Linked DNA regions of Struthio camelus. The protein of the gene in region 1 interacts with the protein of each later gene in a pairwise test. Links are inferred from orthologs where the notes say so. Each region holds a gene or a part of one and is shown in the gene's direction. Other genes may lie near its edges.

Evidence for each region.
Region 2: the proteins of ATF4 (region 1) and GOLGA1 interact in binary tests that used the Homo sapiens proteins (3 or more experiments, as listed by UniProt). The two-hybrid records come from large-scale screens. The link is inferred for Struthio camelus from reciprocal best matches to the Homo sapiens genes ATF4 and GOLGA1.

The regions. Positions count from the first base shown.
Region 1 is NC_090942.1:57,908,218-57,915,146, reverse strand, and holds the start of ATF4 (cyclic AMP-dependent transcription factor ATF-4), read left to right. Parts: upstream 1-3,906; 5' UTR 3,907-4,450; intron 4,451-5,769; 5' UTR 5,770-5,867; coding exon 5,868-6,084; intron 6,085-6,621; coding exon 6,622-6,929. UniProt on the Homo sapiens protein: Transcription factor that binds the cAMP response element (CRE) (consensus: 5'-GTGACGT[AC][AG]-3') and displays two biological functions, as regulator of metabolic and redox processes under normal cellular conditions, and as master transcription factor during integrated stress response (ISR).
Region 2 is NC_090961.1:1,283,421-1,290,786, reverse strand, and holds the start of GOLGA1 (golgin subfamily A member 1), read left to right. Parts: upstream 1-4,348; 5' UTR 4,349-4,431; intron 4,432-4,809; 5' UTR 4,810-4,986; coding exon 4,987-5,121; intron 5,122-6,296; exon of another isoform or gene 6,297-6,415; intron 6,416-6,508; coding exon 6,509-6,599; intron 6,600-7,366. UniProt on the Homo sapiens protein: Involved in vesicular trafficking at the Golgi apparatus level. Involved in endosome-to-Golgi trafficking. Mechanistically, captures transport vesicles arriving from endosomes via the protein TBC1D23.

The DNA.
Region 1 (6,929 bases):
TGCCCACGTTTGCTCGGTAAGAAAAATGTAGGTGGACAACCAGGACTGTTTCCATATCCATCTAAAATAATTGAACGGTAAATTGCAAATGTAAATTGCAGATTTAATCCTTTTTTTTTTTTATTACTTTAATTTCAAATGTCAGTGATATTTACATAACAGGATGGAAACATAAGAAAGCGAGGGGGTGAGTAAGCAATGAATGATTTATTAAAGGTTCCATTTGGTGTACGAGTCCAAAACAAATGAGGCACAGCATATGGCTAACTTATTTTCTCTTTGTATGTAATAAAAGATGGACGCTAATACTCCCAGCTTGATCTTTAACCACATATATTTGCTTTTCATTCTAGTTTCAAAACGGAACATCTATAAAGCAATCCCTAAAGAGCTTACAAGGAGAGTCTGGCAGAAAAGATCCTTCAGATAGTTGTTTGTGCTGCATGAGGAGAAAGGCAACCAAGCGCTGAGAATTAGCCTGAGCCGTAGAGTCTGTCAGCAACTCTCCCGGGAAATTGCTCCCAGTTTCTAGGTGTTTTGCCTCATTCCTCCTTTATATTTTCCCCGAGCACTCTGTCTCCTGGAAAAATTCCTGTTGGTTTCGGGAAACGCTATGTTCACTGAAGCGCAGTTGTCCTGGCACCCCAGAAAAAAGCAAAGATCTCAGGCTACCTTACTTTTGCTGGTTGCCTTCTGGGCGCCAGTAACACGTCTGCCCCTCACTGCCCTGGTCCATAAGGGCCCTAGCAGCCCCCCACCAACAGGCCCCCCCGGGGCTTTGCACGCAGACAGTCTAGACAGTGCAGGAAGATGTTACTATGGAAACATTTACATCCTTTCTTTTGTGTACCCCCTGCATATTTGCTGGGAGAGGAAGGAAGCTTCCTTTGCTTCTCAGTGTTAACCTTTAACAAAAATAAGGCCTATCTGTTGACCTTCGGTCTTGACAAAGGAGAAGGGCGAAAGGAGGAGGAACATTAGTTTTTCACCTCCTGGTGCTGCCGTTTGGCCTGAGATGGCTTTCTGCAGCGCTGTATTTATCTCGGCACAGTTCATCACTTCCTAGCAAGGTCACTTTGGCCTCTGTCCTGCAGTGAGCCCTGCACAAGCAACTCCTTTTGCCTGCAGCTGGCCCCTCACTTCTGGATATAGATGGAGCTTTCTTATTACAGGAGCTTTCTTTGCTGAGAAATGGTGCCCAATACAGGAAAATAACATCAACTGCACTAAAGCTGATAACATGTCAGCAGGAGGTTATTGACCATGCACATACATTAATCTTCATTCAGAAGCCTTTTTTTTTTAAATCAGCATAGATTTAATTTTCTTCAGAGCTATCAGACTTGCCCGTGCAATGTTTGAGCCAGAAACGGATTTTGCAGTATTGGAAAGGGACACTTCTTAGACACTTTTGAGTTAGTAGTGGGTAGCTAGTAGTTCTCTGCTTAGAAGATACTTGTAATTTTCTATTTACAAAAATTCCCAAAGATTTTTTTACTTGAATGTAAAGAAGTATCTTCTACCTCAATCAAAAAACTTTAGCCATGAAGAAGAAACCTTTAGCATAACATGGGCAAGTGGAGAGAGATGATTTATAATGGAATTAGAGATGTATCTTACGAAATTATGTAACGAGTAATTCTGTAGTCCTTCGGGAGACAGGGAAAACGCACTGTTGGCTAAGTAGCTGGCTTTTGGTTAGTTGGTTTCACTTTCTGGGTAGGGGACAGTTAAAAAATTTCTGTCTGGAGCTCATAATGCAGACAAATTTCCACATACATGTACATACATACAAAATGGAAACCAGGCAGCTACGAAACAGGCAGATCTGGGTTAAGTTCCTCATTGCCTCTTTCATTTTTGCTCCTGTGATTCTTGCTCACACATACCCAGAGTCCTTTCAGGGGAATCTATAATTATCTTCTCAAGATGAAGGATAGGGTGTGTACAGTGTTTCCATTTATTTAGCTGCGATTTCAGTTTTACAAGCATCCTTTTCTTTTCACTTAAAGGAGGGGCAGGCAGGCAAGGTGGGGGATGTGAGAGCTTCCCCTTAGCCAGTCAGGGCATCAGGATGCTGTCTGCGCAGCCGCCCAGCCGATCACCCACTTGACTTCTTTGAAAGCTGCTGCATCCCCCAAATTTTGCATTGAAGCAAGATCTGCCTACTACTTGGTGCGTTTATCAGAACAGTCGTTTTAGATCACTGAATTGCTGTTGTGATGTTTTCTGGTGTTGGAGGGCATTTTTCTCCACCGCCTCCATTTTAATGAGTCATTCCAAAATCTGTGCTTGCTTCCAGAAAAAAAAAAAAAAAAACAACAACATGTAGGGAAAATTACCTTTTTTATTCAGTGATTGCATTCAGATTACAGATGCAGAGTGACATATTCTGATTTGTGGTGATGATGGTACATCGGACTGCTAAAAGCAGAAACTGGGTCACGCCCGTCCTTGCAAATTATCAGTCAAATAATAAGTTCCAAGCAGTTACGCCTATGCAAACTAAGTGAAGGCCATGGCTTTACACAACTACTACCGAGGCCCTAACTGGGAAACAAAGGAGCTTTTGGCAGAAGTAGCTGAGGGCAATTTGACCTACACGATGATGGCATTTGAACAAGCCAGAACCCACCTCAGCTCCCAGAGCCGATACTGTACTGCAAGGTTGGCAATGGGGGAAAAACATCCATTTGAAGCTGGATAGCTCTGACACAGTGAGAAAAGGTGCAGGTAGAAATCGGTGCTGTTGCTAGGGTCTGAGTGATCCAATGGCACGCTGCCACTCTAAGGCGACCTTCTCACTCCAGCTCACTTGAGCTGACTGATGTTTGCCTGACCCAAGTGAAAATTAGGGGACCTAAACCAGCAGAAAATGACTGACCCCCATCAGTTTTCCTGCTGGGTTAGCTAGCTGGCTCACCCAAGGGGCCAGATGAGCTTGTGGGATTGTACTGCCAGGAACCGGGTGCAGGGAAGGGAGCAGGACTGCCTTCTTTCCGAGCCTCAAGTTGATTTAGATCAGATAAAGCATAATGTGAAACTGCACTTTAGAAACTTTCCAAGGTGACGCTGCCCTGTTCAGCTGTTAGGCTATGTAGGTGATCCACTAACGCTCATGTTAGCCCGAGCAATGTCTGTACAGAGAACAGAGAAGCAACTGTGTCAATGTGAAACCGTATGGGAGGAGAGGAAGTTCTCTTTCCTCAGCTAGGAAATAACCTAATTCATTTTTAGCTTGTGGATCTCCAGCACAACTCCGCATGAACCACTCCAGGTCAATACTGCGCCAGAGCTGCAGCAAGACCAGCAGGCCCAGTTCGAACATGCACACGTTAATTAGGCTGCATGTGGTACAGAGGGATAGACACACTGTCTGTGCCCCAAAACAGCCATAATCTAAGGGCTGCATTTGTCTGACAAGCAGGGAGGGAAGGCCAAGCTGCCCTGGGCGGACACGTTATCTGCAGGAGCAGGAGCTCATGGTGGCCCACTGCCTGGTCACTTCAAGGCAGTGAGCCTATGCCTGCGCCTCAGCCTGCGAGCCCTGAACTCAGCAGGGCTTCGGGCAGGGGACCACAGGAGCCATTGGAGACCAAGGGGGAAAGCGCTGCTTCAGGAGGGGTAGGGAAGGGAAAGGCCGGAGCCGCGGTGAGGGTCGCAGGCTGCAGACTGCGCAAGGAGCAGCACCACCCCCACACTCCCCACAAGGCGCCGTTTCCCCAGCGCCCTTCTCCTTTCCCCCTCGGCATCTGGCCTCTTTCAAGTCCTGGCCAATGGCAGCTCACCGTACACGTGAATAACTCGCTTCAGCCAATCAGCGCCCCGCTTCCCACGTGGCCACGTGCGTGATGCCTCCAGCCCGAGAGCCCTGCCTTTGCTGGCGGTTAGGAGCCCCCTCCCCCATCCCAAGCAGGGGAGGAGGAGCGTCCTCAACTGCTCCGCCACGTGACGCGACCGCGCTGAGCGCGGCGACGGCCGGCGCGACGAGCATCATATAGTCCCCCCCCCCCCCCCGCCGGCTGTTCCGTGGCTGAGGGGGTTGGGGTGGTAGCTCCTGCTGGTGGCTCTGGCGGTTAAAGCGTAGCTGGTTGGAAGTAGAGAACCAAGAAAGAGAGGTTGCACGCCGCCGAGCGCTGGGGAGGGGCAGGTGACGGTTGGCGGAAGGACACACCATCACCGGATCTCGTTTCTTCGGCGGTAGCACTATATAAAGATGGGGCGCGGACATTGCCACCTCATTGTCTGTCTGTAGCTGAACTTAGGAATAGTAGTGGCAGTGGCTGTGCCCGTAGCACCTCCCCGCGCAGCGCGGACCGGAGCAGCCTCCCCTCCCCTGGCCGCCATGGCTCTTTAAGGGCGGCAGGGCCAGCGGCGGCATCGGCCAGTGCAGCAGGCGCAGCAGCAGCGGCGGCGGCCTCGGCACATCCCCGGCATCTGCAACCATGGCGTGAGTACCGTGTGGGAGGGACGGCGATCTCTCTGCCTTCTGTTTTGCCCTTCTGTGTTTTTTCCCTTGGAGTGGGTTTTCTTGAGGAGGGGGAGGGATCGGTTTGTCACCCCTACGGTAATGAGTGGCATTTCCCGGGAAAAAGGTGCCTGGGTGATGAGGGATTTGGCAGGAAGGTCCGTCTTACCATGGTACGGTCTAGACTATGTTGATGAATGCCATTTCCCGGCTGTAAGCTCAGCCTGTCATGGGGTGGAATTGAAGGAAATAATATTTTGAAAGAAACTATGAGGAGTTTCTGTGTTATCTCTAGTTCGGGAAACTCGGTTCTCAAGAGTAGGGAAGTAGGGTTGGGATTCTTATTTCAGTGGGACTTTTTCATCCCTGAGGAAGTGTGTTTTCTTTTTTTTTCTTCCCCCAATCTAATATAGGGGAATGGGGGAAAAATAGGGCATTGGAGGCATCGGACTTGTAAGGGTATAAATACCATTTTGTGTTTTATCCTGAGTAGATTATTAGGGACGGTTAGTAGTAAAGTGGCAGCAGTATTGTAATGCTTTAATAACGTAGTGTTAAGCGTGCCCTGAATGTCCGGAGGGGGGTTTCATACCTTCTGGATACTCCACTGAAGGTGGTGCGTGACAATCGATTCACCTTGTCGTCCAGCTTCCCCATTTTGTAAGTCGGCTTATTTCAGAGACTTTCCCAGTCCTGAGAGGTTATTCCAGTTCCATCTGATTTAGTATTGTCCCCCCCCCGCCCCCAGTACCGAGGTCTACTCTGCCCTTACAAAGTCTTAGCGGTCATCTGCGAGACACCAGGTGCTCCTCGATAAGCCCCAGTGGAAACGTGGCAGGATACAAAATGGCGGCCCGTGTCTGCGGTAGGCAGATGCAGGCAGCAAGATCATGAAATGGCTGCGGCTGCTGGCGTAGGCTTTGCGTCAGGGCAGCGGGGTGGGCGGGGCTCTGCCACAGGCGCCGTGCCCATATATGGTCATGAGGAAGTCGAGTGGGTCTCCCGCGGGGGTTTTCACACCGGAGGGAAGGCCTCGTGGTTATTACAGCTGGCTCTGCTGTGTAGCAGGAGCTCTGGCGAAGCGAGAAGCCTTTAGGAAGGAGCTCGGATGCAAAAATGGTATGTTGCCAGCAAAGGGCAGTTGTAAAAATGGGGAAGTCACATGAGCCTATTGTGTTCTGTGATATTTTGTTAAATGCCACTTATTTTGAAAAGTTATATCCCAGTAGAGTAAGGGCTGGATTGAATTAATTTGAAAAGTCACACTTGTCACTGATGGACTTCAAATGTCATCCTTGCAGGCTTTTCAAGGCACCGCACAGCAGCATTGCTGTAATCGACGTAAACACCCTCTACTTGTCTGCATCCTTCGACATCAAAGTACTAAAAATCGACCAAGATGAGCCTCTTGAACAACGAGATGCTGTTGGGGGATTCGTTGTCCCCCTTCAGCCAGCCGTGTTCGGTGGCTGAGGAAAGTCTGGGACTCCTAGATGACTACCTGGAGGTGGCCGAGCCCCTCAGTTCGCATGGGTTCTCCAGCGAAAAGGCTAAGGCAGTCTCCTCCAATTGGCTCACTGTGGACAGTTTAGGCAACACCATAGATAGCAGCCAGGGTAAGGTATTTTGCTTGTAAGGTACATCTGTTTTGATAATTGCACATAAATGTTTAGTAATGTTACCTTGAGAATTAAACTGCTAAGTTTTCATGAATGTGTAGAAGACGGCCTCACATGCATGCCTGTAGTATTATGCTGCATTATACAGATCCTTTCCAGATGAGACAAAACCGTGTGTATGGTGAAGTGACACTTCTCTAGCCATTTTTGTAACTTACCAATTGCTACAGTAGTATTCCCTGGAAGGGGCTGTGAGAAACTGAACAGTTGTGTGTTTCCAAGGGCCCTGAATATTTTTACCCCTACAGACCTTAGAGGAATAAGAGGGATGAAATGCCTGAACAGCTGGATGGCTTACGTTGTCCCTGGCAGTCTCTTGCAGCTAATGGCAGCAGAATTTTTCTGCTAGTTGAATTTTTCATACCAATATAAGAACTGGGGAAGGTGTTAAGATTTCCATTCTGTATAACTTTCAGAAGCTTGAACTGCGTTTGTGGCTAACTTAATGAATTGGTAACTTGCTCTCTTGTGCAGAGGATGCCTTCTCTGGCATGGAGTGGATGGTGGAGAAGATGGATCTGAAGGAATTTGACTTTGATGCCCTGTTAGGTATGGAAGATCTGGAAGCCACCGTCTCACCAGACGAGCTAATGGCCACGTTGGAAGACACGTGTGATCTCCTGTTTAACCCTACCACCCAGGAATTTCACAACAAAGAACCTCCACTGATAACTGACCTAATCACTACTCTCCCTGAATCTCCAATTGGAGCAGATCACATGGCCCCATTGACTTCCCTTTGGTCTTTTCCCCTCTCCCCAGGGTCTCTGACTTCCACTCCA
Region 2 (7,366 bases), on another chromosome or scaffold:
GCTGGTATGTTGGGCCCCTCACCACTTGGTGCTGCTCTTCTTTGGACTATAGCAGGACTGGGATGTGGAGTTTATTTTAAAGAGTGTGTGTTTGTGTGTGTATGTGTATTCTAGGCGTTTGTGTGTATATGTACAATACACATACATCTACTTGCTAGTGTAAATTGTAAATATGTATATATGTATAGGTACTTGTATATGTATTAAAAAGTATGAAACAGTACAATGTCTTTATATACAACATTTATATATACACACATACGCCATTTTGGGTGCATTCCACAAGGTGTTCCAGATCCTTTGTGGTTGTAGTAAAGGTTATGGCTCTTCTACCATTATAATTCTGTTTTCAGGGACTTGCACTTAGTCCTTGAAGTAATTCAGAACTGCAATCGGGTACAGGAAGCCTTAGCTAGGGGTTATGAGTACTCCTATGTATGTGACAGTGATTAGATTCATGGATTCTTAATGGTGAAGCTGATGATCTGCCTTTCCTTCTGGTAGGAGGTCCCCAGTTATTAAAACGTGGGATCATACGTGGAAGCTAAAGATACTGAAAGCCTTTAAAGCAGCAGCAAGTGAGAGTCACAGATTATCGTATCTGCTACCCTCCCTGCTGTTCCTCCACCAGCAGTGTTTAATGTGCATGGAAGAGGGGAACTTATTTTTCCCCAGCTCACTGCCTTCCAATCAGATGCTTTTGTTCTGCTTTAGCTTTTGCTTTGATGAAGCTATTCTCAGTTTGGTTCCATGCATCTGGAAAATAGTGTGCTATTTTGAAGCACAGGAGCAAAGATCCCTTTAGTGTGGGCTGCTGAACCTCTGTGAAATATTGCCTTCTAGCTGACTGGGAAAGCCTTGGCAGACGCTAGATCGTGTTTTAGCTGGGCTGAGACGAGGAGTTCTTGCTTGCGATCTGCAAGGCCTCTAAGCCACTATGCAGCCCTGAGAAGAGGTTCTGTTTGCTTGTTACCTAAGTAGATCTAATCAGAGGAGAATGCGCTTAAAAAAAAAAGTGACTAAAGAAGCTAGAATGGAGGAGAATATGTGGCTTTGAAAATTAGTTCAGAAGCTAAACACATCAGCTTTGTCTGTTCAGGTAAAAAATTCATTCTTGAGGTCCCACATTCTCTTCTCACCTAGTGACCTTTGGTTCAAAAGGTATGCTGCTGATAGGAATATTCAAAGATAAAGATTTTACTCCTGTTGTGTCAGTAGGAGTAAGAAATTGTACTTTATAAGAAAAAGGCTGATACCTTCTGTCTGCTCTAGCTGTAGATAAGATGAGTATTTGGTCTTGGACTTTGAGCCAGACACCCCCCCACCCCCCACCCCCCCCCCCAAAAAAAAAAAAGCAGCTAGCTGCATTCAAGATAAAAACACTGATCTTTTCCCTCCAAGTAAAAGCTTGTCTTGTTTGAATTTACTAAGTCATTCTAAATTTGTGCTACTGTGTACTGTGTGCTATGGTTGTAGGTACCTTCTCTATGTATACTTGTATGTACTGAAGAAAAATTTGGTATATATATCTAGCAGATCTCGCTATAGGGAAGCAAAGGCTGAACAATTTCAAGTGAGGAGAGAACAGATCCTTTTCTTCTCAGGCCTAATGCCTTCTCTCTTGTATCCCTCTCCCTTTCTCCATATATCCTTATTGCTTATGTTAGTGGAGAAGACTTGCTACCATTAGGCAATACTGAATTAAAAGGGTAAATTCTGTATGTAATATCTAAAGAGAGGAAAAGGTGAACTTGATTGAATGTCTCCTTATTGGACTTCTCCTGCCTAGCCCCCTAATTTACTGCATGTGATATGTTTGAATTAACTGTACTTCCACGGTAGGCATCTCTATTTGTACTCCTCTGTTCAAATTGGCTTTAGAACATCTAGCCAAAGTCAGTGCTGTTGCCTTCCCTCACCCACCCCCTTGACTTCTCAAAATAACAGTGAGGGGGAAAATAGGGCCATGAATTTTTAGAGCTCTGTTTTTACTCTTTGGACGCTGTCATTTTGCTCTGTGGCAACAAAAATGGAGCACTAACTTCTGTGAGCTGTGCAAAGTGGAGTTGCTCCCTGGAGTGCTTTCGTGAGAAGTTTCAGGAGAGTTTGTTTGGGTAGTTTGTCAAAATAATATCCATCAGGTCATGATGTATTAAAACCCTTAATATTCTACAGGGAGCAGTGTGGAGATGTCTTTCTAAGGATCACTGAGGGTAGATGGGGACAGGAAGTTAGGCTTCAAATAATCGTCTTCAAAAGCTACAAGTTCAGTAGCGCTGGTCAGGCTTCTTGTCTAAGGATGGGATGAAAGTACAGCTCCAAGATTCATCCACAGGCATGCCGTTTTGAATTACCCCCCGCCCCGCTTCTTCTGTGTAGTATGACTCCGTGCTATGCTTGGTCTGCTTTTTCCCAAAAGCTTTTAGCTTGGGATCTCTCTCAGCAGCATTTTGGCCTTGACACTTCTTTTGTAAAGCTTCATCTATGTTAGCTTCTTCAGTAAATGTTTTTACAGGTCACTAATGATAGCAGTGGCAGATGTTTAGTCCTGTCCATCCTATGTTAAGTGGCTGCTTCGGTGTTGGTAGCTGTTGGTAGTTGCTCCTGTAGCTGAGGGAGCTCCATGGACAGTAACAGCAAGAGTAATCTCACAAGGGAAAAAGTCCAACACATGCAGCTGAAAGCTGTTCTGTGCAACTCAATAATGTCAGACTAAGCTGCACCGTCAACCTCTGAGAGGGATACTGGTGCAGAAGACAGGGCAAAACTGTCCAGAGTAGATGACTTGCATATTCTTGACATGGCTCTCTTACATTGCTGAGTATCTCTGACTTCTAGAGCGATTTGGCTTGTGGGACCAAATCTATTTCAAAGATTGTGAAAGTCTGGATGTTTACAAATAGAGCAGAGGAGGAAGCATCGGACAAATACTTCTGGTTTATATTTAGGAGTGAAAGTAAAGCTACTTCTTCTGAGACAGACCCCACTTTCTCATCACTTTTCCTCTAAACCATTGCTCTGCCAAGACAGAGGAGGAGATCTAGTTGAGGATTTCTGAATTTGTGAGCTCTTTCAGAAGACCAGGGAATAACTCTGCATCCCCATTGACGTACCCTTATTACTGGGCCTGCTGCCCTGATGTGTGCATAGACGTTTTGCTCTTACAGATCCTGCTTTCACATTGAGAGCAGACTTTACTATTTACTCGGCCAAAGGAGCGCCTTGAGAGATTTTTAGACCTTATTGGATCTTATATCAGTAATTATTCCTTCAAAAAAAGCCTGTGTTGAGTATCTGCCCTACTGACTTTGCAGATTTCTTCTGCCATCTGTTTATTACCACTTATCAGTTGTAACTCATTTTTAGGAGCAGGATTCTGCCTCATGCATTTGAAAAGCACAAGGTGCTTATGCCCTGGCCTGCAGCTCACCAAGAAGTACAAGAAAAATAGATGGGAGAGGGAGGGGACATTCTGGAAATACAGAAAGATGAACTATGTCTCAGACAGTCCATCTACCAAGGGTTAAAGGAGTGTTTTGCCTCTCTGAGTATCAGATTATTTATTACCAAAAGTAATTTTATAGTGGATTGGTTTAAAGTTATTTTACAGCCATGTGCCTGTATATCATATTTTGCTAAAAAAAAAAAATATTTTACTTAAAATATATAGAGATATATAAATAAACTTTTTGGAGCAAATAGACTTTTTTTTTTTTTTTTGCAAGGGATCTATGAATTGCCAAAGCAATGCACTACCAGAGAATATTCTGCCATTGGTTTTGGTGTCTTTGGGAGGAAAGAAGTATGTTTGTATTACTGCTGAAAATTTCAGGGAAGAGTTAAAAGCTACGCTTACAAGTGAGAAGTGATGTTACTCCTCCACTTCAGAAATAAAGACCTTAGTTTCCACGTCGGTTTGTACCGGTAACTAAAACCGAAACGCAAGGCCTGCTTACTGCTGCCACGACCAAGGTTAAAGCCTTTTCCCGCGCCGCTCCGCTCCGCTCCGCTCCGCGCGCGGCCCGCCTGCCCCGCCGGCCCCTCCGCGCGTGGCGGGCCGCGGCCCCCCGCCCGCCCCCAGCTCTGTACCTCTTCTGTAGACGCGTGGTGTTTCAGACGTAACGCTCTTGTTTGCTAACCTGTATGATTTGCCTGTTGTCATGACTACCTTGCCTTTTCCGGTGGTATGGAAGGAGTTCGCGATTAATAAACTGTGGCAAACGCTTGTCTGTGAGGAGGCGGCTGTCGCGCGGCGGGGCGCGCGGCGGCCGTGACGGGGGGGGGGAGGGGAGAGGAGAGGAGGGGAGGGGAGGGGGCGGGGCTACCAATGCCCGCCCCGCCTCGCCTCGCCTCGCGCGTGCGCAGCCCGCGGCGCTTCCGGCTCCGCGCGGCGCTTCCGGGTCGGCGTCGCCAGGGGCAGCGGCGGCAGCGGTCGGCGGTGGCGGTGGCGGTGGCGGTGGCGGGGGGGGGTCGGGGCGGCGCGGCGGGGCGCGGCGCGGCGGCACGCACCGGGCTGGGGGCCGCCGTGAGGCGACTGAGGGGCCGGGGCCGAGACGGCCGTGGCCGGGCCGCGGCGGCGGGAGCGGCGCGGTGGCGGCGGGGCTTCGCCGGGCCCTTCGGCAGCCGCCGGCCGGGCCCGCTGCCTCCGCCTGGGGCGCGCTTCGCGGCCGGCGGGAGCTCTGCAGGGCTTCTGCTCCGCGCTCTGAGTGTGCGACGACACGCACGGAATTAAAAGGCGCTCGGTTGCGTGGAGGTATTTAAAACTGGTGGAAAGCCGCGGTACGGAAACCTTATCTCCTTAACGTGCAGGTCCTGTTAGGCCATGAAGGCTTTAATGGAACTAGAGAGGCAATAAAACTGAGTGGATGAGGCACGAAATTAAGTCTCGACGTCTGGAAGCTCTACGCGGAGCGCCAGCGCGCTAGCCGTGCCGGAGGGAGCGGCTTTGCCAAATACTTGGCTATTTCGGGGCTGCAGAGCAGTAAAATGTTTGCAAAACTGAAGAAGAAGATCGCGGAAGAGGCAGGTATCGCGCCTCGCCCGGGAGGAGCTGCCAGGATACCTAGGTCTGTCAGCAAGGAGTCGATTGCGTCCATGGGAGCGGACTCGGGAGACGACTTTGTGAGTTGCACTTTGCTTGGAATTTTGCTTTTTGTTTCAGCCTTTCCAGTGCGGGTTGGCAGGCGACCATTTTAAGTCCGGTGCGTGAGCCGCGTATGCGTTCCGGTATGCGATAGGGCGTTTATGTAGGTGTAGAGCTTAACGTGTAGATGAATCACTAGCTTCAGTGAAAAGAAACTAGCTACTGAAAAGAAAATATTTATGTATTAATAGCAGTAGTTACTAGGAGGCTTATGTTCAAACGCAAGTTTATGTTTAAACGCAAGTTACAAAACTATCTCAATGAAGACCATTGTTAAACAGATGGAAAATACTGAATAAACCTTTAGCAGTGTGTAAGACACCTACCTACAGAAGTAAGTACTGAAGCAGCAGACAAGGAAGCCGGATGCTGATTAGCAGTGATTTGGTCCTGTGTTTGCCTCTCGAGTTGCTGGTACACTTGCTGCTTGAGCATATTGTTTATGTAACCGCTAAGAAAGCATATTCCATTTTGTTGCATGCAAGTAAAACTGTTCTGGTTCCTCTGTCTTGTTTAAACTTTGATTCATTATGAAGCATTGTTTAAGCAAGCTGTATAATTATAGCTGCATGTGGGTTAAATGAAACCCTACAACGCTGGCACCTCTGCCCGTAGATGGCTATTGTATTTCTCAAAACCTGGGTTAAGTCATGGTGTAGCACTGCTGTTGGAGCTAACAGCTAATACATGCTATATTGCTTTAGCACAGCAGGTCCCTTTATGATTCTCTTTCGCTCTGTGTGTGTGTGTGTGTGTGTGTGTATATAGAGATATATATATGAAATATATAAATAAAACTCTATCTTCAAGAATGAGTTATTTTAGTAGTTCCCATTTACTTGCTCTTAATGTTGATTTTTATAAAAAAAAACTATAGAGAAACATATGTTAGCTATGCAGTGGATTTTGCATGGAATGACTATTGGATAAGTGCTTAAGGGAGTTTATTCAACGTGAAAAGTATTACTTTTCCTTCTTCCAGTTACTTAGTTTTCCAAAATGACTCCTCTCACTTGGACTCATCCCAGAATGTGTACTGTATAACCTAATTTTTCCTTTTTCCAGTCGCTCTGCTATGCTGTCTCCTCAGTGATCAGTCTGAACAAATAATTTGCAGCTATGGGTTTTAAAAGTCTTGTATTTCACGGAACAGGCCCACATTGGAGAGCTGACCATTTAAGCTCTTGCTTTTTTTCTTCTTCAGCATCTTTTGTACATTCTGCTGTGCTAGTACAACTCTCCCCTCGTGAAAAATGAAAGCGTCCTTCCTAGGTGGGATAGTGTTCATTATCGTTAAAGTTAGTATATGGCAGGATCATTTTTTCTAAGTTTTGTAAGTTACATGGATGTTGTTTTTCTATTGAGGCTTCTGATGGAAGCAGCTCTAGGGAGGATCTTTCATCCCAGTTGTTGAGAAGAAACGAACAGATAAGAAAACTGGAGGTCAAACTGTCCGGTATGTGTCTTGGTTTGTATAAAACCTTATTATTTTAGGAAATGTGTTTCATTTGAACTTAAGTGTTTTAACTTATCAAAAAATGTTTTTAGATTTTTTTTTTTCCAGAAAACTTCAATTTGTAACAACATGGTTGACTGTCATCTAGGTAGCTTCCAGTAAAGATAACTGTATAAAGTTTAAAGATTGATTGACTGACTGACTCTTTTCCACTGATTTCTTCGCAACATTTGTGCGTTTCTTTTGAACATTTGGGATACCTTTCTGTCCCTGTGTTTCAAACAGAAAGAGTCTTCACTTGATGCTATCTTCCTTTCCCCACTGTTTTTTCTTACTTACTTGGAAAATAGAACAGCTCCCTTCTGTTAAGATGTATGCTTTTTGATGTTGACAGAAACATTCCCAAAAGGATAAACTCCCAAATGAAGAAAAAGCAAAGGATTTGGCATAAAACAACATTGACGCTGTTTTTCTTTCTACAATCATGCCTTGTCCTGTAAAAGTCTTTTAAGGACTTCTGATACTGCTTTCCATCCCTGTTGCATGGAGTGGATCGGAGTCCAGGTTGAAGCGTGTTATGGAGCAAAAGTAAAAGCTGCTTTGAATTCCCGTGTCTTCTCATTCACTCTTTATTTCTCTTTAGAAAATGTCTCTTAAATTAAGTCACTGTTCTTGAATGAAGTAAAAGGTGGGAATAGTTCTCCGTTCTCTGGTGCCAGGCCTACTGCCCTTTATTGTGTAACTAGCACACCTAGGTCAGGTCCTCC